Linked DNA regions of Zea mays. Each later gene encodes a partner of the first gene's protein in a complex. Links are inferred from orthologs where the notes say so. Each region holds a gene or a part of one and is shown on either strand. Other genes may lie near its edges. The genes, in order: 50S ribosomal protein L4-like; 50S ribosomal protein L27, chloroplastic; 50S ribosomal protein L5; 50S ribosomal protein 6, chloroplastic-like; 50S ribosomal protein L13, chloroplastic-like; 50S ribosomal protein L9; 50S ribosomal protein L1, chloroplastic-like.

Region 1 (4,139 bases):
TGCAACGACGTCGATAGCCCTCCACACTATTCTGCCTGAGCCGCGACCACTCCTTGACGATCTTCTCGCCAACATCGATGTCTTCGCCATGCCTTCTGGATTGCCACCAACTCGTGCATGTGACCATTGCATTCACTTGCAGCCAGACACGACAACAGTCGCTGTCCGACCCTACCGCTACTCGTAGGTCCATAAGGACGAATTGGAGTGCAAAGTCGTCGACATGCTGGTCTAGGGCGTTATTTAGCCTAGCACGTCGACCTTCTCCACATCGATGCTCCTCGTCAAGAAGCATGACTCCTTGCTCTTCTACATCGACTCCTTGCGCTTCCTCAACGACTACACGGTGAAGGACAAGTTCCCAATCCTCGTCGTCCCCGTCGTTGATGAGCTCCTTGACGAGCTCCATGGCGCCCATTTCTTCATAAAACTGGACCTACGCTCCGGGTACCACCAGATCCGCATGCACACAGGCGACATCGAGAAGACCGTGTTTCACACCCACCATGGCCACTTTGAGTTTCTGTTGGTGCCAGTTGGGTTGGCAAACACGCAGGCAACATTCTAGAGCCTCATGAATGAAGTCACGCAGCCCTTACTCCGTTGGTTTGTCCTTGTTTTCTTTGATGTATTCTCATCTACAACGACTCGTGGTCAACTCATCTGCAACACGCCTTTTTCGACGCCTCCATGCACACTCCCTCTTTGGCAAGCTCTCCTTTGGCATGACGTCCGTCGCATACCTAGGGCACGTCATCTCCGTAGATGGCGTAGCCATGGATGGAGACAAGGTGGAGGCCGTCACGTCTTGGCTGCACCTTCCTGGGCCTTATGGGGTACTACAGGAAGTTCATATAGGAATTCGACCTCATCGTGGCGCCACTCACCAGCTTGCTAGGGAAGGACACCTTCCACTTGTCACCGAAGGCTGAGACGACCTTCACCGCACTCAAGCGCGCACACTCCACTGTGTCGGTCCTCCATCTGCCAGTCTTCGATACCTTGTTCGTCGTGGAGTGTGACGCGACGAGCATAGGGTTCGGCGCTATCCTTCAGTAGGGCGCAGGACCACTGGCCTACTTCAGCTGACCATTCGTGCCATGACACCAGAAGATCGCCGCCTACGAACGAGAGCTCATCGACTTGGTGCAAGTCGTGCGTCATTGGCGCCCATATCTCTGGGGGCGCCGGTTACTCATCTGCACCAACCACTTTAGCGTGAAGTTCCTGCCTGATCAACGCCTCTCAACGATCCTGCGGCACCAGTGGGTGAGCAAGTTGTTCGGCTTCAACTTCACGGTGTAATACTGCCCCAGTTGTCTCCATACGGTCGACCACGCCCTCTCCCGCCGTGACACCGACATCATTGGCCGCCACAACAATTGTGTCTTGTTTTTGTTTCTTTGCAGGTTGGCTCTCTCATGAAATTTGTGGTTGTCCTATTTTATGTTGAGGCGTGTCTGCCATTCAGACAAAACCATCTTATTTCCCTTCAATGCAAGGCAGAGCTCCTGCCACTCTCTTTTAGAAAAATGAGAAATATGGTAAGAGGTGCATTTTTATTCAGCAAAACATAGTCCTGTACAAAACCGATATTCAAACCCCATGTCTTGGTCCTTGAGTAGTGTGGTTTTATGCCATTCAAATTTACATTGTAGATAAAATGTTCCCCAAAATAATGGTGATGCAATTCAATCCAATCGGCATTACTGCTTCGTAGCACTACCATTTGCTATTCTCCTTCAACCTGTTGAGACATGTACTAACTGAAGGATAGCAGTTACTAGCAGAGAGCCCATATATGGCCAGTACAGGAATAATCAAGCAGCGCACTGCAACCAGCAAAGCATACTCTGTAGCTATGTACCTGGAGCAGCATCTGCTGTGGTGCCTTCTTCTGCTTCTTGCTCGACCAGTTCCTCCTCGCCATCATCCTCGTCATCAGTATAGTAGTCATCGGAAACACTGGCTCCGTACCTGGAGTTGAGGTAGTCTACAGCAGCAGGAGTAAAGAAGAGCTTGCGTGCGTCGAGTATGTCGTACAGGTTCAGCGTCCTGGGTGTGAGCATTTTGAGGGAACCAATGTTCCTGCCGCTGAGCCGCACATTGTCGTCGAAGTCCGTGGCAAAGAACATGGCTTTCTGCTTCGGGTCAAGCCCCCACCGCTGCAAAGCGGCCACGAAATCCCTGGTCTTGGGCCCCGACGCGAAGGCCTCCTCGAACTCCTCGACAACGAAGGCGTCCTTGGCGGCGCTCACGATGGCAGTGGAGATGGCAAGGCGCTTCTCCTTGCGGTTGATCTTGATGGACCAGTCGCGGGGCTTGGGGCCGAACACGACGCCACCGCCGGGACGAAGCGGGGTACGCTGCGACCCCCGCCGCGCCTTCCCCGTCTTCTTCTGCTGATAGGGCTTCCTCCCTCCGCCTCTGACCTCGCCGCGGGTGAGCGTGGAGGCCGTGCCTCGGCGCGCGTTCTGGCGGTCGGTGATGATAGCGCGGTGCACGACAGCGCGCGCGGTGGAGGGTGGCGCGGATTTGAGGTCGAGGGTTACCTCCCCGACCTTCTCTCCGGTGAATGAGAGCACGGGGAGGGTGGCCGCCTCGGCGCGCAGCGCGCGGAGGACGGAGACAGCCGCCCTCGTCCTGACGGCGGCGTGTGGAGTGACGGCAGCGGAGGAGGGTGGGAAAAAGGAGGTGGATGAGGAAGAGAGGAAGGGGGAGGAGGACGAGGAGAGCGAGAGGAGGAGAGGGGAGACTACGGCGGCGGCTGGCATTGTGCCGGCTTCGCTGCGCTAGGTACGGGACTACGGGGTGAGGCGAGGACGATGGCTCTGACGCTCTGCCTCTGCAGCTGCCGCTTCTCTATCCCTTTGTTATCCACCCGTTCGGTTCGGCCACTCCTCCCCAGACAGACTCGTAGTCCCTACTTGCCAACGCCACAAGAAGGCACACTGTCAACTGTCTCAGGAGTCACCGAGTCAGGTCTCATGCCGAGTCGGCTAGTCGCAGTCGCACTTCACAAGTTTGAGTAATTTTTCCTTAAAAATCCATTAATATTACAAGTAATGAAAGGGCATTTGCCGTGTTAAGTGAATTTATTTGCTTGCAGTTTGCTAAAACTGGTTGACACGGGACGGGAGGAGACGAAACCGTGCCTGTGCACTTAAGTCAGCTGCACCTGCAGACTCAACTGCAAGTGCCCAATGCTTTCAGCACAGCTGGGATAGATAAAGGGTGAAAACGAATCTTCAGAAATTCTAGGTAAAAAGGATTAGGCTATCCGCAACCGTTACCCCTAAATTTTTCCCCCTATATCACTTTTCCCCCCTATTTTTCTCCCTATTTTTTCATCTCCCGCAGCGGTTCCCCCTAAATACTCCCCTATACCCCACTACAACTATAAAATATCATTTTCTATATCAACTATTAATTTTTTATCTACTAACAATTACTCGTGGACCCACAGCACAGTGTTTAGGGTGATGAACAGTGACACGCTAGATCTGGGGGGAGATAGAAGGGTGCCGACGCGTAGGGGGCGCTGTAGGGGGCACCGCTGCGGCCGTAGGGTGCCCCCTACAGACGGCATGCAAGGGGAGGGGGAGTGCTAGCGGTGACCGCTGCGCACAGCCTTAATCAGAAGTTCTACGTTCCCTTGGCTTCCTGATGATAACCAACTTGCACGCGTCTCCTTACCGACAAGGTAACAAGCAAAGTCATGCAGGTCAAGAAACCTGAATAGATGACTGCGGATTGCATTCTCATGATAGTTTTTTTTTCCAGATATTCTGCCACCCTTGCACAAACCATAAGGTAAAAGCAAGTCAGGAAATCAGAAGTTTAGAGCAGATGGCCGAAGTTCAAATTATCATACTTATTTATTTTCTTCTGTTTCGATCTTCCACGATACATTCTACATGAATGATACAAATATCTATCCAACATAGTCTTTGGTCCCTACGTGAATCATACTGGCTATTGTGTAACCTACAGTTGACATATCCAAAGCAGAGGCGAGCTCTATAGCTTGTCGACCTTGTTTACGGTTTATGCGGATAATAAATGGCTTTTTAGGATGATATACTAACGCTTGCGATGCCCGTAGTTCATCTTGATGACTTTGATGGTAGTTTCTTAAC
Region 2 (3,709 bases), on another chromosome or scaffold:
TATGACATTGCATAACTTCATTAGAGACAGTGCTCTACACGATAGAGACTTTGATGAACTAGGACCTAATAGCCTTGGTCATGATGTATCTGTAGGTGAGAGTAGTAGTATCACATCTGATGAGTTAGACATGAGTGCATTTCGAGATGCAATTGCTAATGCATTAGTGCCGTAGTTAAATATGTAAATGTAACAGTAGTTATGTTGTAATGAACTCCACTAATTATATGTAATGACCTTTTGTTGGTTCGGTGTTAATGTGTATAGTTTCTTCAAACAGAATCTGCAATCTGAGAATCTGTGTATCCAAACACCTAGATTCTAACGAACAGCTTTTCCGCACAGCTGGCGAACCAAACACCTAAATTCTAACCACCAGCTTTTCAGAAAAGCTATTCAGAAAAAAGCCGAACCAAACACGCCCTACGTGGAGTGGTCTAGGAAGTTGGAATAGACCCCCACTGTGACTCTAAAGCACAACTACCCCACAAAAAGTACAAGTAGAACATATCCATTTATCTAAACAACACATGTAAATATGACCTTTATAGATCATGTGGTCTTACAATTAAGGAAGAAAAAGTGTAACAAGGGCTGTGAAAAAGAGAAACACCACACAGGAAACTTATCAGCAGTCCGCGCTGACCTCAGAGTTTTCATCAACAGCAGCTAGTACCAACTGAGGCTCAGCGGCGCCCTCCGCTCTCGCCTTCTTCCGTTCACGCCGCATGCGGAAGTACTCTCTCTTCCTTGCTCTGTAACTGTTTGGGTTTTCAGGCTCCTTCTCATATGGGTAAACACTAACCTATGAAAGGAGAGGTAGTGAGATGAGCATATATCTGGTGTGCAACCAGATCTCAGTCAGATGCAAGTAAAAGCAGATTTCAGTATGTAGTAACTAAGATACAGCTAACCTTTTTCTTGTCCGGCCCATACTTCTCAAACTTGACGAGTCCATCTATCAAAGAAAAGAGTGTGTGATCCTTGCCCATTCCAACGTTATTTCCAGGATAGACCTGAAATGTCCAAAAGATTTTATTTTAAGAAAAAACTTAAAAACGGCAAGGAACAGACAGACCACAAAACGGGGACCAAAACGAACTCTATACAAGGGACACGATGGTATAAACCATGTAGTATCCATAATATATAAACATCTTAAATATTTGAAGCGCGCTGGTAAGTAGGACGGACCAACCAAATCGTAAGACATGTAAGTTCATGAAATATCTTTTACAAGGATTGACCGACCATCTTACAGTATGCCTAATATTGAACAGCTATGTCTGACCATGTGTGCAGAGTAAGGTGGGTGTTTAGTTCAAAATTTGTTGGATTATATAACCTGGGCAGATTATAATCCCAAACAAACACCCCCCTAAGTCACCACCAGTTGGCTCCATAGGGCATTGAGGTTAGTACGTTACATTCCCCAGCGAGGTTTGTGTGTGCACTTTCCCCTCCCGTTATCTGATGTATGCAAGAAACTGCAATCTTTTCTTTCCTGCTTTTGCAGAGTGGTAAACTATGGAAAATGCAGATATGCACAATGGCAGCATACATTCCAACGTAACATGTGCAATGGCAAGCATTCTAGGTACATCGTAAGATTCTAGCATTCGCAGTCCGTAATCCGTATGAAGGTACTGGTCGGTGGTTAATATGCTTAACCTGCATCAGCAGCAGCAGCAGCAGGTGAGCAGCAAGCAAACGCTAGGCAGAGAGAGCTATGTCGCCCAGCAGAGCCAGTCAACGAGGTACCATAATCCACGCAAGCAAGAGCCTAGGCTGTCTTACTAACCCAAAGCAAACCAGTAACAGGTAAGGGAAGCGAAGGGAGCAAGAGGGGGGCAGGACCCTGGTGCCGCGCTGGCGGATGATGATGGCCCCGGGCTTGGCGAGCTGGTCGCCGTATATCTTGACCCCGAGGCGCTGGCCCTTGGAGTCGCGGCCGTTCTTGGTGCTCCCGGCCCCCTTCTTGTGCGCCATCTGGATGGTGAGCCGCCGCGCCGGCACCGGCACCGGCACGCCCGCTGCGCCGCCGACGGAGAGCGAGGCGCGGTCGCAGCGCGGGAAGGAGGAGGTGGTGGTGGTGGGCGCCAGGGAGAGGCCCTTGAAGGCCCCCGCCAGGGCGAACGCCATGGAGGCCATGGGCCGCTGGAGCGGAGGGAGGCAACGTGGCAGCTTGGGAAGAAGACGGGGGAAGAGAGCAGATGAGGCGGTGAGGTACAGAGGTGTGGGCGCTGGTGATAACGGAGTGGAGAAGGGATGCAGTCGGGAGACGTGGGCTCGTTCGTGGTTGGCCCAGTGTTTTGGGTCCTGGAGTTTTTGGGCCTTACTTGCAGATGGGCCTCGTGGTGCTTGCAGAGTGTCTGGCCGAATTGGAAGGGAGGGAAATGGTGTTATGCTCCTGGCCGGTTTTGGTCCTTGTAGTTTTAGGCAAGGCAACACAGGATTCACGAAGGAATCATTCAGGGGGAAAACAAAATGATCAGTGTGGTGGTGTTTGGTTCATGATATGTAACGTAAGTGGTAACGATAATGATTCACATTCAAGTACCAACGATAATAAGTCTGAATAGGCTCAGTTAGAGTTAAACAAACATGATATGTGAACCAAAAGGGCATCATCTTGTTCCTCCCTCCGGAGCTGCACAGAGAGACGCTGAATGGCCACAGCTAGCTAGCGTCGGCACGTGGGGAGATAGCCGGGGAAGCTAGCTAGAGTGACAGGCAGGCTTGTTGTGGAGCAAGAGCAAGAGCAAGAGAAGCAGTAGGCATGATGATGGGCTTGACCGGCGGCAACGGCAAAGCTGGAGCCGGAAGAAGAGGAGACGACCGACACATGGCATGATTAGGATCCTTGACGAAAGCGCGGGAGATGCAGAGCGTTTGGGGGTCCAAGTTAATCATGGCCCAGACCAGACCACACAAGCAAACAGGGCCCTACCACCACCACCACCACCCACTAATAATCTCGTGTTCTCCAGAGTCCAGACGCTCCATCCGCTCACTCGCTGCAGTTTGCACTGTTTACTCCTCCGTCTCCGTGTGCGTTAGATTTCCGGCGGCACTAGGGATGCCAGAAATTTCAAAGAGGCAGCAGCGCACGGCGCTCACAGGCTGCTGCTACTACTTGTACTAGCAGCAGTCACCGCACCGCACGCACCGTCAGCAGGGGGACGGAGAGATGACATTGACCGCCGGCGATCATTGCCTCGTCTGACGATTCGCCGGCGACACCCACACCCGCACCCCACCCCGGCCGGACCCGACCGACACAACGCATTTCCTCTATCTTTTTCCCACTCTTGTTTATTTGTGACAAATTATAGCGTGCTTGCGGTTGTAAAATGTTAGTCCATATCGATCTTTGCCACTGCACGGTGAATAGTTTGGAACTGAAAAGGACACGAAAAGGCCAAGCAAGCAGGCAGGCTGGGTCTAAACGAGAATGATGGGGAGGGTTAGATAAAACCCAAGATCATATCAGCCGTGACTGTAAAAAAAGAGAAGGATTGAGAGAGAGAGAGAGAGACGCCGCGACCGACCGGCCATGATGGTGATTGGTGAATGTGAATGTGAATGTGATCCCTTCCCCATGAGTGACAGGTTTTGGTACCTTTTTTTCTTCTGGAACTGCCGTTGCTCCAGCCTCCTCCGGGTTTGGTGTGTGTGTCGGCAACGGTGCGTCAGTCACTCAGTCTCA
Region 3 (3,375 bases), about 33 Mb from region 1:
GACCGTGGGGCAGTACACGTGGATATGATAACAACAAGTAGCTAAAAGGTAGTGAACCTCTTGAGTTTATCCCTACGTAACCCTCGCCGACTTATCTTCGCATGGCTCCGCTGCATGGGGGCTTCAGCGCGGGAAAGTCGGGTCTCTGTTGCGATTTACTCGCTCGACGTTGTGGGCCATTCGGGTTTGCACCAATCCGGTATCACGTCGCTCTGCTTTGTTGGTTGTTTCTCCCCAGGCCCACAAAAGAATGACCTTACGATTTATTGGGCCCTTGGGCCTTTCGTGAGGTCTTTTACTCCTTTAGTGGACCCGGGGGATATCTATCCCCCACACAACAGCCTTAGGCTCCATGGCATCCAATTGTGTTGTCACATGGAGCATAGGGTGTCCACAACCCCTGTCACGATAGTTTGGAATATTGCATCTCATTTTTGGGCCAACACAACCAACACACTAAAGACATCAATCATGGTTGAAAGAGAAGAGTAAGGCCATGTATACAAAGTACACAAACTAGTCTACTTCACGAGTGAGGTCCTATTAAAGTCTAAAGTACGATACCCGCAAGTCTAGAAACCACTCTACACCCTACTAATCATATTGCACAGACTTTGCCACTAGGTCTGGACGAGAAACTTGTGGATCCATAACTCGCTCTCATTAGTGGCTTGATACATCTTGGCTCGTTTGAAATGAGTCACGAGCTCAGCCAACATTTTAGTTTGGTTCTTAACGAGCCAAACGAGCTGCACAGCTGCCCTGCGGCCCAACGAGGCCCAAGCGTCAAGCGACCTAGCCCAACCAAGCGAGACGTAGACGACGAACCACATACGACAAATCTACTATATTCAAGCTTGAATATTCAGTTTTCAACATTTTATTTTGATTTGTATATCAATCTTTCAATATTTTATTTGATTTATATGTGGTGTGTCATGACCAAGCAATAGTGCATGACAATCTTGATAGCAAGCTACCATTATGGATTCTAATTGAACTATTTTTGTCATGCACTTTAGCTTGAACATGTGTAATCAGTTTAATATATGGTTACCTCTCACTAAAAAATATATATGTAACGTCATCATGGGCACATGTCCCACATATCAAATATTAAACTGATCACACTTGTTTTTTAAGTTGTTTTTTACACGCATGACCAGCTCAATGACTGTTGTTAATCACGTATTCACGATATTAGGTTCGTTGTTAGCAAAACAAGGCTGTATTATGATGTTAATCTTATTGATCCACTAAACAATCTTGGCTTGGGCTTGATGGGCTTTAGCCATCTCTGTATCCTCAATGGGTCCAAGTCCAGAGCACACGAAGGCCTAGCCCAGAACCACTGGATTGGCCACTGCCAGCGGCACAGCCGACGCCTTATCCAGCAACCGTCTTCCTCATCCATGGCATAAGCCGCGCCCGCCTCCGCACGCCCCGCTCCGATGGCAGCCGCGGCTGTGACCCTGCCCTCCTCGGGCACGCCCTTCGCCGTCGCCACAACCGCCTCTTCCTCATCCGCCCGCCGCTGCCTGCTCCTGCCCTCCGCGGCTCCCCGCCGAGCTCTCCGCGTCGTGGCCTCCGCCGCTACCGAGGCGCCGCCCAAGCCCACGCAGCCGCCGACATCGCCCTCCGGCATCGTGCTCGTCGACCCATCCGAAGCCCAGAAGGTGCACCGGCTCAAGGCCGTCTACGACCAGAAGGTCGTCCCGCTCATCACCGAGGAGTTCGGCTACACCAATGTCCACCAGGTGCTCGACCGTCGACCCTGCTCCTCCTCGCCGCGGAAAGGCCCGCCGTTCCTCCTTGTAGCTAGGCTAATTTGCTGGCGTGGTAGGATTTTGACTTTTGATGAGTCGTGCGGTTGGTTCGAACGGCTAGGTTCCCAAGCTCGAGAAGATTGTGGTGAACTGCGGTCTGGGCGCGGAGGCAGGGAACTCGAAGGGGCTGGATGCCGCCATGAAGGACCTGGCCATGATCACCGGGCAGTGGCCCGTCAAGACCAAGGCCAGGAAGTCCGTGGCCAGCTTCAAGATCCGTGAGGGAAACACCATCGGTATCGCAGTCACCCTCCGCGGCAGGGTGAGCCTCATCCATTGCTCATTTGGCCTCGGAGTGTATTTCGTGGCAGTTTGGAATATGGCAGCTTAGTATAATCTGCAATACAAGTGGAAATTGTGAGCTCGTTTCACTGGTACAGGGCTCATTTCTTTTTCTTTTTTTTGTCCTTGGCTGTAGATAATGTACAACTTCCTGGATAGGCTCATCAACCTTGGGCTCCCTAGGACCATGGACTTCCTGGGTGTCAACCCCAACAGCTTCGACGGGCACGGCAACTACAGCCTTGGCCTCCGTGACCAGGGCGTGTTCCCGGAGATCCCGTACGAGGTGGGCGGGAAGAAGAACGGCATGGACGTGTCCATCGTCACCAGCGCCAAGACGGACAACGAGGCGTTCAGGCTGCTGGTCCTCCTCGGCATGCCATTCTCGGAGAACATCAAGACCGACGTGGTGATCCGGAAGAAGAGGTTGAAGCGCCACCACTTCCTGAGCAAGGGCAAGGGGAAGGGAGGACGACGGTGAGGAGAGGAACCAGCCAGCCAGCCAGCCCATGGTTGCACACGCTCTGTTCAGCTTGTTTTAATTCCGATCTTTTTGCAGAATTTGGCTTACAAATTCGATGCTGTTGTTGTCTGTCAATTATGTAACTTGTGCACCTATGAAAAAGGTTTGCAATGATCATGTCCGTTTTGCTGATTTCTTCTTGATGCATAATTTGTAGTCACAAGTTATACCACTGCCAGACATTGTAATCGGAGGAAGCAGTAATGTGAGACGGACACTGTAATGCAAACGTATTTCAGCTGCATTTCTCATACTGCTTGTCTAGACTATCACCGAAGAGCCTATATGATCAATGATCTCTTTTGGCAATCGGCCTCAATAGCTACACTTCGGCAGCTCGGGTGGGCCGATGACGAGCTCTTCCTCCGGGAAGGCGCACGGCTTGCCCTCCGCGGCGAGCTCCGGGCACGGCTTGGGCGAGACGTGGGAGGTGACCCCCTTGACGTTGGTGCAGTTCCACTGCAGCTCCTTGGCGTCCGGCGCGAGGCGGGCGGTCACGTTGGATATGCAGATCCCGGTGTAGGGGTCCTTAGGGATGCCCTCCATCCTGCCGGCCATGGTCACGTTCTCGGCGAACACGTCGCTGTAGTTGATGCCGGTGACCTCGGGCATGGCGTTGGGGTCGGACGTGTTGTCGGGGTGCTGCCCGTAGTTGCCGGTCATCCAGAACACCCACTTCATGGTGTGGAGGCTGAGGCCGCGCACGAAGATGTCCCTGACGAAGCCGCCCCTCCCGGCGCCGGA
Region 4 (2,282 bases), on another chromosome or scaffold:
ATTAATGAGTACTTGCCGATGTGGTGATGTCTGAAATCTAGATAGTTTGTGTTACATGTTAGTACCTAGTTATCCCTTAAGGGCTTGTTCGGTTACACGAATCCAGAAGGGGATTGGAGGGGTTTAAATCCCCTCTTAGGGCTGATTTGGTGACCCGGGATCCCGGGAGGATTGAAGGGGATTGAGGGGAAAATTAGTTTATTTCCCCCTCAATCCCCTCCAATCCTCCCGTGATCACCTTGTCACCAAATCAACTCGGTTGATTTGGTGACAAGGTGATCACGGGAGGATTGGAGGGGATTGAAGGGGAAATGAACTAATTTCCCCCTCAATTCTCTCAAATCCCGCCGTAATCTCTGGTCACCAAATCAGCCCTTATTGGCTAGTTTGGAAACTCACATCCTCTTCGGGATTGAAGGGGATTGGAGAGGAAATTAGTTCATTTCCACCCCAATCCCCTCCAACCCTGAAGGGGATTTGAGGTTCCCAAAGTAGCACTAAGGGTTAGTTTGGAAACTCAAATCCCTTCAAGATTGAAGGGGATTGAAGAGAAAATTAGTTTATTTCTACCTCAATCCCCTCCAATCCCAATGGGGATTTGAGGTTCCCATTGACTAGGAGGGGATTTAATACCCTCCAATCGCCTTCTGGATTGGTGTGCCTGAACATGCGTTAATTGGAGATGGGGACCCATTGGGGACCCAAAACCCGAATGAGGATGAGTATGAGATGAATTTTGCACCCATAATGGGTATGAGGATGGACTAAATATGATAGGAATGAGTTTGGGATGCTATAACCCGATGGAGAATTCTCCATTAACATCTCTAGATGAGTTAGAGATAGCTTTAGAAGTACAAGCTAGTTGTGCCGAAACATTTTTCAACAAAATTCGGGAGACAACTGATCGTTGTACCAAAAGAAATATATTATGTACCCGTGAGCCTCATTTTGTTTTGTTGAAGCTTCATCAACGGCACATCTTAGACCACGGAATTTTATAATATAAAAAGGTGACATGGCATTTTATGATAAGAAGAGGGCAGGGGACTAAACAATTACAAGTTTTTTTTAAAAGAAGTGGAGATATAAAAAAGGAAAAACACTCGATGAGTGAGCGGTCAGATGATCGCACATAGTGTGGGCCAGATTTCGCTCAGCGTAGCAAATCCCGCAATCACAAAACCCAATCCGAAACAGTCCTCCTCCCATCTTATCCCAAACACAACCCACACTACTACCCTACCCGTCCGCCTCTCTCGAAAGCGCAGCACCAGCGAGCATGTCGCCTGTCACCGCACTCCTGGCGGGCACGGTGGTGCCGCCGGCCTCGGCCCCGTCGCCAGCGAGGCACGCCCGCCATTACTCCGTCGGCTTCTCCCCGCTCCACGGCGGCGGGCGCGCGGCGCTGGCGGTGGAGTGCTCGTCGCGGCCGCAGAAGAAGGGGACCAAGCACCACATGAAGACGCGGCCCAAGAAGACGCAGCCGTGGGACATCAAGCGCCGCCCCACGCAGTACCCGCCGCTGCCGCCGCTCCCGCCGGACTGGACGCTCGTCGCCTCCGGCGCCACGGTGGACGTGGAGGAGGCGGAGGCCCCGGCACCCGCCGCGACTCTCGTCCTCGACGTGGCCGCGGCCACCGACTGAGGCCGCCGCGGCGTGTCGCCAAAGTTGTTCCCTTGAACCTCCGCATAAGCTGTTTTTCTTTGAGATTTATTATATAATAACAATGGCTGCCCAGATTTTGTGATTATAAATTAAGAATCTTTCATTGCTGTCCAGATTGTGGCTGTCACCGCGTCCAATTTAGTGCGTTGCTAGATGATTTCTTGGTTGCATGCTGTGTGCAACGCTTATTCCATGCCGTCAGTGGCAGTGCAGACTGCAGAGTGATTAGCTACTCCATCTCCATAGTTTGCCAGTTAAGTTATGATGGGATATGGATTACGCAAATATAGTCTTCAAAAGGGGGGGAAAACAAGCAGCCCAACGAAGACATCTGCCTCTTGTTTGACTTTAGGAGCTGGCTCTGTTTGATTTGGACAATTGCCTGATATTGGGGAAGGTTCGGTAAACAGTAAACTCAGCTTAGATGGCAGGAACAGCCATTGAACACTGCAAATGATAGGAAATTTTAGAAGTAACCTAGTTGTTTGTAATGTTGCTTTTGTTGGAGCATGATTGTGCGAATTCCATATGCTACCTGCCTACCTAGGGATGGCAATGGATACGGGTATGGGTAAATAACCGCGGATAATTATCCATTGGATATGAGTATGGT
Region 5 (4,018 bases), on another chromosome or scaffold:
TGAATTTCATGCATTGGTAAACATCAAAATTACAAAGAGGATTTATACTCCCCCCCCCCCCCTCCCCGATCAGAGGCATGGTTATGAGGATAGCATTCCAAACAAAGGGCAAAACCTTCTGGGGAGGAATTCGCCACTGCATCCTTTTCAGTCGATGAATTCTCTATCCAGTTTTTTGTATTCTTTTATCCCTGATCGGGAGTGGGACAGGTTTTTGAGCCTCGTGCGGATGTTCTGTCCCTTTGTATACCTTGAGGTGGGTAAATAATCTTCTTCCCAGCTGCAAATTGGCAAAAAAGGTGAGCATATAAATGTAAATATAACAAGTATATAGCACATAACAAAACTAAGTTAAATCAAATTTGCCATCAACAAGAAAAATGGAATGGTTAGGGGGGATGCTTCAGATAACAAGATATTTGCCTGCCATAATGTGAGTTTCAGTAAACGCATCCATACTACCAAACAATTGAACTAAGAAGCAATTTGCAAGAAAAAGGTTAATAGGCAATTTTTATGGAGTTCATGCAACACACCTTTGCGAACTTAGAAAAAAAAAGATCGGCAAGATAATTAACTAATTCAATCTGGACTTGTTAATTTTGTTCAATAACAACATTCCCTTGAATTTAGTACTGTGATTTATTCTGAATGTCACGCTTTCACTGGGAGGTACATGCTGATGCATGAGCAATGTTCTGACTGCAATACACTTCAGGGCTTGTTCGTTTCGCCGTTAATCCATGTGGATTGAGTGGTATTGAGTCGGTTTAAATCCATAGCAAGTCAAAATCCATCCCAATCCATCCCAACACACCAATCCACATGGAATTGAAATAACCGAACAAGGCCTCACCATTAACTATAGTAGTTCTCAATCTCAAAAGAAAAAATTCACATCTGCTAACTAATACCAAATTGTAATTTTTGGGACCTTAAAATAAAGGTCACCAGGAAATTTGGTTGTCATTTTCATATTTGGCATACATTATAACATGCGCACTAAAACGAGAAAGAGAACATGTAGACCTGAGGCAATCAGCTAGTAGATGTTTTTTCTTACCCTTCCCTTGGGGAGCATGCCACGAACCGCATGTTCAATGATTCTCTCTGGAATTCTTTTCTGAAGTTGGTCAAAAGTTTCTTCTTTCATCCCTCCAGGCCTTCCGGAGTGCCTCCTATAAAGCTTTTGTGACCGCTTTTTACCAGAAACAGCAACCTTATCTGCATTGACCTATGTGAATAGAAAAGGTTGTTAATGACTCTCAGCATTGTAGTGTAACACAATAATGCATATCATCTACTCCATCTGTTCCAAATTATAAGATGTTTTGGTAATTCTAGATACATAGTTGTTACTAAATATCTGGACATGAATTATGTCTAAGTGCGTAGCAAAAGTAATGGATCCAAAAAAAATCCAAAAAGTCTTATAACTTGGAACTGAGGGAATACGTGGTAATGAGCCTTTAGAGATGCACCAGTCACAAAAGGACTATGCTAACATAAACATTAAACACAACTACAGTTGAAGATTATTTGAGGAAGGTTACTCACCTCAGTACCAAATAATCTGAGGGAAGTAAAGCATGTATACTAAGGCCCTGTTTGGAACCTCTACAGCTAATAGTTAGCTGCTAAAATTAGCTATACAGGTTCCAAACACCCACAACTAATTGTTAGCTAACTCACAGTTAACAATTAGTTCATTAGCTGGCTCAACCCAGCTAACAATTTGTTAGCTGGCTACCTGTTAACTGTAGGGATTCCAAACACTATAGGTATTGAGAGAACGCTTACCACAATAACAAAAGCTCCCATGTCTACACTAGGAGTGTAAGTGGGTTCATTCTTTCCCCTGATATGTACTGCAATGGTGGATGCTAGCCTGCCTAGGATCTTGTCTGTTGCATCAACAACATACCATGTCTTCTCGGTAGTTACATGATCTGCAGCCTTAGGATACCAGGTTGTATTCCATATGTCCTGCAAATTAAATCACTGAATCAGATTTCAGTAGACACAATTACTTGTGGAGTAATTCATTAGAAGAAAGAACAAGGCATAGTACAAACAAACCATTCACTTTGTACCCATAGTATTAGTAACTGATCCTAAACAAGTCACAATTATGAACAGGCTGGTTGGCAACCATCAGTTCACTTTGACTTGCATGTCCAATTAAGCTCATTTTTAATGAATTCTCTCTCACCACAAACAGCCCATGGGTAATTTTGGATATGATGGCACATGGCAGATAACATATATAATGTACGCAGTTCTATTGTAACTTGATTGCCCTTCATCATGCACATAAAAGGATAGTCGAAGCCTCTGAGGTGGATTAAGATGGCCACGGTGAAACATGAACAAAATAGGATGGACACTGTCAGTCCAGGGTTACAATCCTGCAAAACGAGCTGTGAAAATGTGCACATTGTTTCAAGAGAGGAAGAGAGAGCGTCGTACGGGGCCGCAGAGCTCGTCTCCCTCGAACATGAAGCGCTGCTCGCGGGGCACGAGCGCGGCGAGCGGCTGCCTCTTCTGCTTGTCGCTCTTCTCGCACCGCACGGCCAGTCCCACCGGGGCGGCCCGGCGCGGCCCCACGGACGCGGTCCGGGTCAGGCGGCGGTGGTAGTGGCGCGGGGCGAAGGCGGAGGAGAGCAACGTATGGGAGGCGACGGCCGTAGCCATTGCGGCACGGCGAGCGAGCGGCAACAGGAGGAGGATGTGCAGACGGTTGGTTCAGTGGGACGCGGCCATTTTTAGGCGCAGTGGGGAGCGTCAAGCGGATAAGGGGATAGGAGACAAAGAACAGGGAAAGGTTAACAAGAACATATGGGCTTCATGGGCTCAGAACGAAATGCAGATTTGGCCCATTACGACACCTTATCAGCTCATCTGAGATTTAAACGCTTCCTTTGAAACTCTTCCCAAACTCAGAATAATGGCGGTTCCATAATTCCATCTAAAAAAAAGAAATTCAATGTATTACTATTGGGCAAAGGGAGCTGCATTAACAAAATATAGCTTCAGACAGGACCATATTTTTTTCAAACGATTCCGCTGTTCAAGTACCAATTAGAAACATCGGTAATCAGAGAAATTCTCGAGTCCAAATAAAATGACGGGAACAGAACTTCCATTGCTGCTAGTTTCCGCGACAACCATCAGCAGCAGAAGCCGAATTAATTGATAACGGACACCATTTTCACATGTTCCATCAGGAAACGGAAAGGAGGCAGAAAAGTGTTCATTCTCTTCTAACCAAAGAAAGCATATCTTTTACATATATAGTGGCAACATCGTGTGATTGCGTTGCAGTGAAGCAACAGCTTAACGTGTTTCTGGTTCAGATCCAGGATTCCCTCGCAGGAAGAACGCAAAGATGATAATATACAACAACAAAATTGTGAACCAGAGATGTCGAGTATCGACGATTAGAACCATATGTAAATCAATGGTTAGTTGGCTACCAGCAAATGAACTGGGAGGAAGGTTACGAAGTAGTAGAAGACCCTGAATTTGTCTGTGTAAGAGGTTTTACTTTCCTTGTGTGACCCAAACTATTCACAAGATCCCTGCGAGTGCATACAGGAAACATGCTCAATCCATGCATGTTTAGCCGCCACAAAACGTATGGAAAACTGAGCTGATCACGAGATGTGAAGCGAACCACTTCATTAAACCAAGCACACATGAAATGGTTCGTTGCAGGGGTGAGTTCCCTCACAATAACAGAGGCTTCGGCTAGAGCTGAAAAATCAAACGGGTAAATTCATTATAACAGTTCGGAAAACATATACAGAGATATTCCACAGGAGCAAAAGAACAATTGTTTGAGAAAGATTAACAGACTGACCTTTCAGTCCGTGCAATCTTTTTGTGTCCGGCATTCCATCTTGACGATACCGAGTCAATTGTACCTCTACCTCTTCAGGGGTAGCCTTGTGCTTTTGAACAATAGCTTTCCCCTCATCATATATGTTACTCCGTGCTCCATGTTCAGAGATAGCAA
Region 6 (4,225 bases), on another chromosome or scaffold:
TCTCTTTTTCTTAACTAAAGGGTAATGAGGTAACACCGCGCTGAAAAAAAAATCATTACATTGAGCATATAGGTTTTGTACTATACTTCCCTGTTCTGGACTTCTGGTGGTATAAAGTATAAACTACCTAGTTGTTTATGGCAGCCGTTACATTTTCACGTACTCCTTTATTAAAAGGGAAAATTACAAATTAAGTTTCTTAAAATCTGAACGCCTTTCTCTTCACGCCTGCATTTTAAATTATCCAGCCTGCGGCCGTGGCTTCACGCGTGTTGGCTGATGTATCTCTGAATATTACTGTTCACCGATCGCTGTTGAACGACTTATCACTTTACCTGTTCTTTCACGCACTTCGAAACTGGCGCAGCGGAGCGCCCCGTCCGGTCTAGTGTAGTAAATAGTAATGGGAAGTTGAATGCAGATGCCTCTTTTATTGAAATCTGAACCAACCCAACTTAATCTTGTAGTAATGAACTATATTTTTGGTCACTGCATTACATTTCCGAGTATTCTTTAAAAGGGGAAATTACACTGTAGTAATGGGAGATTTGAATGCAGATGCATAACCTCTGTTGAAATTTGAGCCATCCTAACTGTGTTAGTTGTGTTCGAGAAAAATAAAAGGTTGGCTGAGTTCGAGAGGAAAAAATGTTGATTGATTTAGTTCATCAGACATTTTTGTGATTGGGTTATCTCTTGTATTCTGACCTAGATGTTGAATTCTTTCAGGTCCATTGTTAATGGCGCTGCGAAGTGGCTGAACGACAACCTGTAGGCTGTAAATATTTACTGCAGGATAGAAGATTGTCTTACATGGTGCTGTAGTCCAATCAAAGTTCTTAGATTCATTGGGGGTCCCCACGAGCTCGTATATTCGTTTTATTGGAGAGCTGCAAGATTTTCAGGCTGAGTGGCAACCGAGGGAGTGAAAGTTGTCAACTAATATCGTCGCGGCGTTGGTCCCTTGTCATTCTTGCCAAGCAATTATTTTTATGTAGTTGGAGTCCTTTTCAGTCTGGCAAGCGGCGTAGAAGTCTGAAGCTGTGGGATGCTGATCCCAAACCCCGGGACTAGACAAACACTGTACTTGAGGTTTTGGATTAATCAAATTCACCGATATCGAATTGCAAACTTATCCAACTTACAAGATGCGATGGAACTATTTATTAGAAATACGTTTCGGTGATATCGAATTCTCAGTTTCGAGAAAGGGCTATCACGCCGGCAGTTCACGCGGCTGGATCCGGGCACGGCGACCGCGCAGGCTCCCGCCATGGACGCAGCGCGACAGGCGAGAGAAGCTGTGAAACGGGCTCTACGGAGCCGTGACATTATCCATTCCAGATCGATTGGGCCGCCGCCGCCGCTTTCTCATTTCCGGGCCCAAACCATTATTTAGGCCTCTCGCGAAGTCAGTGGATGGATAAGAAAGGAAAGCGGTGCGAGCGGAGGAGGCGACCGAAGCGCCACTTGCTTGAGTAGCGAAGCGCGAGAGCAATGGCGTCGCTGTCGTGCGCCTCCACGCTGCCCTGGACCCCCGCCTCCTACCCGCGGCCCTCGGCGGGGCGCTGCCTCACGGCCTCTCGCCGGGCTCCGTCGCTGGTCATCGTCGCCCAGGGGAAGGTCAAGAAGTACCGCCAGGTCGGCCCGGGCTTTCCGCGTGTTCTTATGTTCGAGTTCTGTGCTGATTTCATCTTAGCAATCAGTTAATGCACGCGGGTTGCTGAGGGCATCATAACCTGCCGCGTTTTAGTTTTCTTCTCTAAAAAAATTGATGCACCGCCGTCGGTACGTTTGTATATTGTGATCAATAGATACAAATGAAGTTAGCTAGCTTAGCTGTCTCACTGGCAACAGGTAAGATATAGTGGCTCGCACAATTTAGATGCTCCAAGAGTTGTACTACTACTACTACTAACCAGGCTTTTAGGCAGGGGATTTAGATACTAGGGATGAAATACCTTTGATGGGAGCCTTGCCTCACTAGTTGGAGTTCAGTTCATAAGTCGTTCCTTTTGCTGTGTTTGCCTGATTGTACAAGAATGCAACAACGGTGCATCCAGTTAAATTGACAATGTGGTGCTTATCTTGTGTAGCTATTACCGCCACCCTTAGCATTACATGTGATTTTACCTTTCTCCATAAAAAAAACAATTCTTTCCCATAGGTCATATTGACAGACGACATAGAAGAGGTGGGGAAGAAAGGGGATACACTGAAGGTGCGAGCTGGATTCTACCGCAACTTCCTCCTTCCCAAGGGCAAGGCTACACTTCTGACCCCAGAAGTCCTCAAGTAATTGCTACCAGCTCTCGGTTATCCCTCACTTGCTTTGCTTTGTTAGTTATGTCATTTAATCCTCAAGTAATTGCAAAGTCCACACTCTGTCAAATGATTCAGTGGCTGCTGGCAACCGTATGACCTTCTCTGTGGTATGCTTAGTTTGACTCTGAGGTTTGGGACCTAGGCACCTAGCAAAACTAGATTGAGATATGAATCCAATCCATGCACCTTTCTAATAGAATTGCAATGGTCGACACACATACTGTTTGATTCGATGGGTAAGTAAGATTGCGAATGAATTTATTGCCTCTACTTCTCTTCGCAGGGAAATGCAGCTGGAGCAGGAGAGAATAGAAGCTGAGAAGAAGCGGGTAGGAAAAAATATTTTACTCAGTAATAAATGTAGTTGCAATTTAACCTCAGCGACCTTTTTCTTTGTCTGGAGAGTAAACTTCAATTGCAGTTTATCCTTACTTTCCTTATGAAAAGAAAATATAGTGCCTTTATGTCCTCCGTAATTTAAGTCCTAAGCATGATATGTTCATGAAATTCTATCAATGCATTTTTATCAGTTTTTGTTTATAATTATGGCCTTAAGAAGTCCTCTATTTACATAGGTAAAAGAAGACGCGCAACAACTTGCTCGAGTTTTTGAAACCATTGGCGCTTTCAAACTCCCTCGCAAAGGTGGAAAAGGAAAACAGATCTTTGGGAGGCAAGTTCTAAGTTGGACAATCCATTATTTATTCTCTCTTGTCTCAGGCTATCTCTTACAGCTTACCCATCTCCATCTCTCATTTCAAACTCTACTTTGTACACACTGCAATCTATAGTGTCACTATCTGCTGGGTATAGTCTTACTTTCACTTTTCTGACGATATCTTTTATTGTACAGTGTCACGGCACAGGATGTTGTTGACATAATAAAGTCACAACTTAATAGGCAAGTGCATATGCTCCTAACTCCTAGGCAATCTTAATAGCGTTTCTCATCATTATATTGCTTCTCTTACTGCTGGCACGCTGTGTCTTGTAGGGATGTCGACAAGAAGCTGGTGACGGTTCCAGAAATCCGTGAAATCGGAGAGTATGTTGCAGAGATCAAGCTTCACCCAGACGTGACAGCGCGAGTAAGGCTGAATGTCTATGCGAAATGAGCTCAGCAGTTACAGAACCTCGAGTAATGGACTTTGGAGAAGCCTGATGTTTGCCAGGCGAGCTCATTTGCCGTTGTTCTTTCCTTGAGATTTGGCTCTTAGAATTCCGCTGGTCTTGCTCTTACACAGTTGCTTTTGTTTAGTGCAGAGATTTTGCTGCAAGTGCCAGGTGCTGCGGTAGACATGAGGCCTGGTCTGGCCGTGACTTGCCTGGTTTTGATACACAATTCACTGGCTCACTGCGCATCCTATTCCCTACCGTGTGAAGTCAAGTTTTCAACAATTATATCTGTTGATTTTGAGGCGGAAAATATAAATTGTTGTAAAGAACAATTTGTTTGAACTGTAGAGCACTACTTCGCCAAAAACGACCCTTCTTTCTTGTCCTCTAACCTTCCCCACCTCTACGTCTGCATCCACTACAAAAAAAAGGCAAGAAATTTGCTAAGTATGGGGCTCCATAGAGCGTTATTCAGATTGGAACACCAACGTACTTGACACATGAACTGCGTTTCTTTTAGCCAAAGTCTGGGCGTCACCAGCGATCTGATACAGATTCACGCAAACCAACTGTATTCATCTCAACATCCACGTTCTACAAAAATGACAGTTTCACATCGTTGTCTAAAAATGCAATGACTCCCGAATACCAGTACAACTCCTCGCTTCACCCTTTACAAAAATCCTTCTGCTTCTGCTAAATGAACTAGCATCATAACTGAACAGCCAGCATTGCAGGCAAGGGGGCATTGCACAGAGCTAGAAATAGCCTTTCCGCTTACGCC
Region 7 (4,009 bases), on another chromosome or scaffold:
GTACCACAAATGGATGTGTGCCATAGTGGTAGGAGCCCTGCCGCGTTGGACGGACACGGGCGCTCACGCGTAGAGGTGGTAATGGATCACGATCCAAATGCCTCTTCACAAAAGTTAAGGCCCTTAAATAATATTAGTTCAAAAATGAATAAGAATAGAGCCCGACCCTAATCCGATTCGATCCTTAAAATTTGCAGTATAAAGTTTATAGCCCATTACCACCCCTACTCACGCGTGAGAGACACATGGCGACGCACAAAGAAAATTCTATATTAAAAGTGTAGTGATATATGAGATAATTTTCTCTCTCTCCCTCTACATGGTGGCAGCAGGGGAAAAAGTTGGAGCTCCTGCACTTTCTAAAGTTCATTGTATGTATGTGGAGTGGTGTGCCATTGAAACAACCTAAAGTCTGATTACAAAGTGAGAAAACCACATGTTATGGTCACACTACCAATGTATTACAACATAGGCCTCAGAACTATAGGAGGAATTGACGGTGGAGGCACGAGTGAAGGGGAGAGGGCGACGGGGACGCGAGGGAGGGAGAGGTTGGAGGCGACAGATTGTGGGAAAGGGAAGGGTGACATGACAAATGATAGATGATCTAGATAATATTGTTCATCATTGAATTTGAGTAAGGGTGATAGAGTTATCCAGCTATCTGAATTTGTTTGGTGGATAATCTAAATAATATAGTAGTATAGATATAGAGTAGAGTCAAGGGCCACACACAAACAGTTCGCAGTCGCAGGCTGGCAGCCACAGCCACACATGCGTCCCTCGTCGCTGCCGCTCGAACCCACACGCGAACCGCGACCACACACCTGTCCGGCTGCCTCGCGCGCATCCGCATGGCTCTCGGTCCTCGGGGCTGAGCCAAATCAGGAGCTCCGAACACCTGCGCGCGTCTCGGCCCAGCCAACTCGCCGTGTTTCTCCTTACCCGTCGCCCGCGCGGACACGACACGATCGCACACTCGTACACCCGCTCGTCCCAACTCCCAACCAAGATCAGGCAGGTGACCGGGCGTCTCGGTTGAGCCAAAATCACTGGAATCAGGGGGGAGGAGTTTTCCAGGCGCGGCGCCCGTCATCCCTGCCCCTGCGAGGCTGCGACCGCGAGCCCGCCCACGACCAGCCCTATCCGATGAACACCCAGGCCGAGATCTTTCGGCTATAACCAACCCGCGCTGCCACTTCGGCTTCTCTTTCTATCCCTCCACTCCCTCTTATCTGCTGCGCCATCCTCCCCGGCCTCCACCATGGCCACAGCCGCCGCGGCCACCGCCTCCTCCTCCCTCCTCGCGCCGGCGGCCAGCAGCACGGCGCCGGCCTCGTCAAACGCGCTGCTGTTCCCCTCCTCCGTGCCGTCGCTGCGTGCGTACCCGCGGCTCCTCCTCGCGTTCCGCCGCCCCGCCGCGGCCGCCATCGCCGACCCGCAGGGGGCCGTGCTCGAAGAGGAGGCGGAGGTCGACCAGCAGGGCCAGTACGACGACGACGACGGGTATGAGGGCGGGCGCGGCCCCGCGTTCACGGCCCCCACGCGCCCGCGCACCGGCAAGGCCGCGCTACTGCTTAAGCGCGACCGCGTACGCATATCGCCGAATACCCCACCCTCCGTATATGGTTCCTGTGGCTTGCTTGCTTGTGTACGGCCGGTGATGCTGTGCTAGTTTTGATGGTGCGCAGACGAGGTCGAAGAGGTTCCTCGAGATACAGAAGCTGAGGGAGAGCAAGAAGGACTACGACGTGCCCACCGCCATCTCGTTGATGAAGCAGATGTCCAGTGCCAAGTTTGTTGAGTCAGCGGAGGCGCACTTCCGCATGAATCTCGACCCCAAGTACAATGACCAGCAGCTCCGGGCCACGGTATTGTTTCTTCTTTTCTGGCCTTCTCTTTTTGGTTGCTTGTGCCCTGTTGCGTTCGTTAATTTGTGCTGGTCGTGGTGACCACAGGTGAATTTGCCCAAGGGAACAGGCCAGTCGGTGAAGATTGCGGTTCTCACACAAGGTGGGCGGTGATTGAAACACAACGAAATCCTGTTGAGCGATAGTTAGTACAAACTGAATTCACTGTGCTAGTGGGTCATATGTGTGATTGTTCTGTTTGACACTATTGCCTTGCCTCATGTGTGACTATGGGTTTAATCTGAAACACGCTTGTCTTTATTTTTATGCAAACATTGTGTGCTGATGACCCGATTGGTTAATTTTGTATTTTTTTTCTTCTTAAAGTACCATGGCTTCTTTCAGAGTTCAAATGCAACATATTGGATTGGACAAAGTTAATTCATCTTTGGCATCTTGGTAGAAGAATTTAACAATCAGTTTATTATGTTCATGATGTTTCTACTTCTTTGTTTTTTACAAGAAGTCACTTGGGAGTTGGGATGGTGCTATTTTTGTGCTGTCCACTTAGCAAACCCTTGTTGAATGACTGAAACTTCTCTTTCATATCCTTTGTGAAAGATAGTCATGTTTTTCTTGTCATTATCATAAAGATGGTAGCACCAGTAGTTGAAATAATCATGGTCATTATATGCATTAATAGTTATTTTCTGACCTCACAGGTGAGAAGATAGATGAAGCTAGAGCTGCCGGAGCTGATATCGTAGGTGGAGAAGATTTGATTGAACAAATAAAAGGAGGATTTATGGAGTTTGACAAATTGATTGCATCACCTGATATGATGCCTAAGGTATGAGCTATTAACAGTTCTGCCTTCATTTCAATTTACTGTTGGATACTACCACAAAATTTGAAATGAAATATTTAGTTGTGCTTACTATAGGTCCTAAGTGTCTTACCATGTAAACTGTTAATTTTTTTGTTTTCTATAGATAAAATAGATTGGCTATGCCAATCTAATTTCGGAATACAAGAATACATGTGTGAGATGTTTCATTCTTTGATAACTAATGCTAAACTAAATGTCCAAAGTTCTGTATATATTTGTTGCATTATTTGACATGTTCGTAGAAACTTTCAATGTGGGCTCCCCTTTAAATGATTATCAGCCTGAGTTATTTCTGTTTACTTTTCAGGTTGCGGGCTTAGGTAAGATTCTAGGACCAAGAGGACTGATGCCTAACCCCAAAGCTGGCACTGTTTCTTCAAATATTACTCAGGTATTGAGGAAGTCAATACAGATTTTGTTTGCCTCAGTTTTTTTATCGATATTCTAAATCGTTTGTCTTCATTGCTTAGTCTGGGCACTGTGACAAGATTTAAAACTTCATGCCCTTGTAGTATTTACTGACTTCTAGGATTCATGTACAAGTAACTTCCTACCTTTATCAGTTGCATTTACTTTCCTGTACTCCGATAATTCAAGGTTCAGGCATGGTGTTTTTATTGAACACATGTTTGTAATTTAATTGTGCATAGCAAGAGTTCAGGAAGTTGAAATAGTTGGTTTTACTGATCGCCGAGGAAACTAGATGAGACACATGTTGGAAGATATGAAGCGTTATCAGTGGTAATAATATGAGTAAACTACACTGGCGGTCCCTAAACTATTATGTAATTCTCATTTGGGTCCCAAGCTATGAAATTGCATATCTAGGTCCCTAAACTATATAAGTATCATATCTTGATCCAAAATAACCACATCACAGTCCATCAACTGACGTGGCACTCCAGCGTGAAGCTGACATATGGGTCCATAGTTCATAGTTACAAGGGCTGTCTAAACTATCATAGGATTCTCAGCTAGGTCCCAAACTATAAAACTACTCATCTAGGTCCCTAACCTATTAAAGTACTACAATCCTAATCCAAATTTTATAGTTTGAGACTTTTGTAAGAATCCAATGATAGTTTAGGTATCATCCTTGTAATTATGAGTTATGGACATGCATGTCGGTTCCACGCTAGAGTGCAATGTTAGCTAATGAACTGTGATGTGACTGTTTTGCACCGGGATGGGATACTTAAATAGTTTAGGGACCTAGATATGCAATTTCATAGTTTGGGGATCTAAATGAGAATCGTGCGGTAGGTTAGGG

What was found.
Region 2: 50S ribosomal protein L4-like (region 1) and 50S ribosomal protein L27, chloroplastic share a complex: the UniProt entries of both Arabidopsis thaliana proteins name them as parts of the 50S ribosomal subunit. The link is inferred for Zea mays from reciprocal best matches to the Arabidopsis thaliana genes RPL4 and RPL27.
Region 3: 50S ribosomal protein L4-like (region 1) and 50S ribosomal protein L5 share a complex: the UniProt entries of both Arabidopsis thaliana proteins name them as parts of the 50S ribosomal subunit. The link is inferred for Zea mays from reciprocal best matches to the Arabidopsis thaliana genes RPL4 and AT4G01310.
Region 4: 50S ribosomal protein L4-like (region 1) and 50S ribosomal protein 6, chloroplastic-like share a complex: the UniProt entries of both Arabidopsis thaliana proteins name them as parts of the 50S ribosomal subunit. The link is inferred for Zea mays from reciprocal best matches to the Arabidopsis thaliana genes RPL4 and PSRP6.
Region 5: 50S ribosomal protein L4-like (region 1) and 50S ribosomal protein L13, chloroplastic-like share a complex: the UniProt entries of both Arabidopsis thaliana proteins name them as parts of the 50S ribosomal subunit. The link is inferred for Zea mays from reciprocal best matches to the Arabidopsis thaliana genes RPL4 and emb1473.
Region 6: 50S ribosomal protein L4-like (region 1) and 50S ribosomal protein L9 share a complex: the UniProt entries of both Arabidopsis thaliana proteins name them as parts of the 50S ribosomal subunit. The link is inferred for Zea mays from reciprocal best matches to the Arabidopsis thaliana genes RPL4 and RPL9.
Region 7: 50S ribosomal protein L4-like (region 1) and 50S ribosomal protein L1, chloroplastic-like share a complex: the UniProt entries of both Arabidopsis thaliana proteins name them as parts of the 50S ribosomal subunit. The link is inferred for Zea mays from reciprocal best matches to the Arabidopsis thaliana genes RPL4 and EMB3126.

The regions. Positions count from the first base shown.
Region 1 is NC_050096.1:38,266,338-38,270,476, reverse strand, and holds the start of 50S ribosomal protein L4-like, read right to left. Parts: upstream 2,801-4,139; 5' UTR 2,775-2,800; coding exon 1,868-2,774; intron 1-1,867. Other genes in the region: Peroxisomal nicotinamide adenine dinucleotide carrier, read right to left, coding at 4,107-4,139. UniProt on the Arabidopsis thaliana protein: This protein binds directly and specifically to 23S rRNA. May play a role in plastid transcriptional regulation.
Region 2 is NC_050103.1:167,360,501-167,364,209, forward strand, and holds 50S ribosomal protein L27, chloroplastic, read right to left. Parts: upstream 2,214-3,709; 5' UTR 2,152-2,213; coding exon 1,858-2,151; intron 1,017-1,857; coding exon 915-1,016; intron 806-914; coding exon 629-805; 3' UTR 501-628; downstream 1-500.
Region 3 is NC_050096.1:5,387,174-5,390,548, reverse strand, and holds 50S ribosomal protein L5, read left to right. Parts: upstream 1-1,348; 5' UTR 1,349-1,451; coding exon 1,452-1,757; intron 1,758-1,887; coding exon 1,888-2,088; intron 2,089-2,244; coding exon 2,245-2,589; 3' UTR 2,590-2,875; downstream 2,876-3,375. Other genes in the region: glycoside hydrolase, family 28 precursor, read right to left, coding at 2,947-3,375. UniProt on the Arabidopsis thaliana protein: Binds 5S rRNA, forms part of the central protuberance of the 50S subunit.
Region 4 is NC_050099.1:216,898,364-216,900,645, reverse strand, and holds 50S ribosomal protein 6, chloroplastic-like, read left to right. Parts: upstream 1-1,210; 5' UTR 1,211-1,282; coding exon 1,283-1,648; 3' UTR 1,649-1,782; downstream 1,783-2,282.
Region 5 is NC_050098.1:202,897,711-202,901,728, reverse strand, and holds the start of 50S ribosomal protein L13, chloroplastic-like, read right to left. Parts: upstream 2,801-4,018; 5' UTR 2,695-2,800; coding exon 2,470-2,694; intron 1,987-2,469; coding exon 1,801-1,986; intron 1,235-1,800; coding exon 1,064-1,234; intron 281-1,063; coding exon 164-280; 3' UTR 1-163. Other genes in the region: uncharacterized protein LOC100285659, read right to left, coding at 3,500-3,756, 3,863-4,018.
Region 6 is NC_050100.1:222,785,531-222,789,755, reverse strand, and holds 50S ribosomal protein L9, read left to right. Parts: upstream 1-1,425; 5' UTR 1,426-1,497; coding exon 1,498-1,641; intron 1,642-2,167; coding exon 2,168-2,295; intron 2,296-2,608; coding exon 2,609-2,654; intron 2,655-2,900; coding exon 2,901-2,998; intron 2,999-3,178; coding exon 3,179-3,226; intron 3,227-3,319; coding exon 3,320-3,440; 3' UTR 3,441-3,497; intron 3,498-3,583; 3' UTR 3,584-3,808; downstream 3,809-4,225. Other genes in the region: Chaperone protein dnaJ A7A, chloroplastic, read left to right, coding at 730-775; methyltransferase WBSCR22, read right to left, coding at 4,200-4,225. UniProt on the Arabidopsis thaliana protein: Binds to the 23S rRNA.
Region 7 is NC_050101.1:154,265,258-154,269,266, forward strand, and holds the start of 50S ribosomal protein L1, chloroplastic-like, read left to right. Parts: upstream 1-1,209; 5' UTR 1,210-1,264; coding exon 1,265-1,591; intron 1,592-1,691; coding exon 1,692-1,871; intron 1,872-1,958; coding exon 1,959-2,013; intron 2,014-2,572; coding exon 2,573-2,700; intron 2,701-3,046; coding exon 3,047-3,130; intron 3,131-4,009. UniProt on the Arabidopsis thaliana protein: This protein binds directly to 23S ribosomal RNA.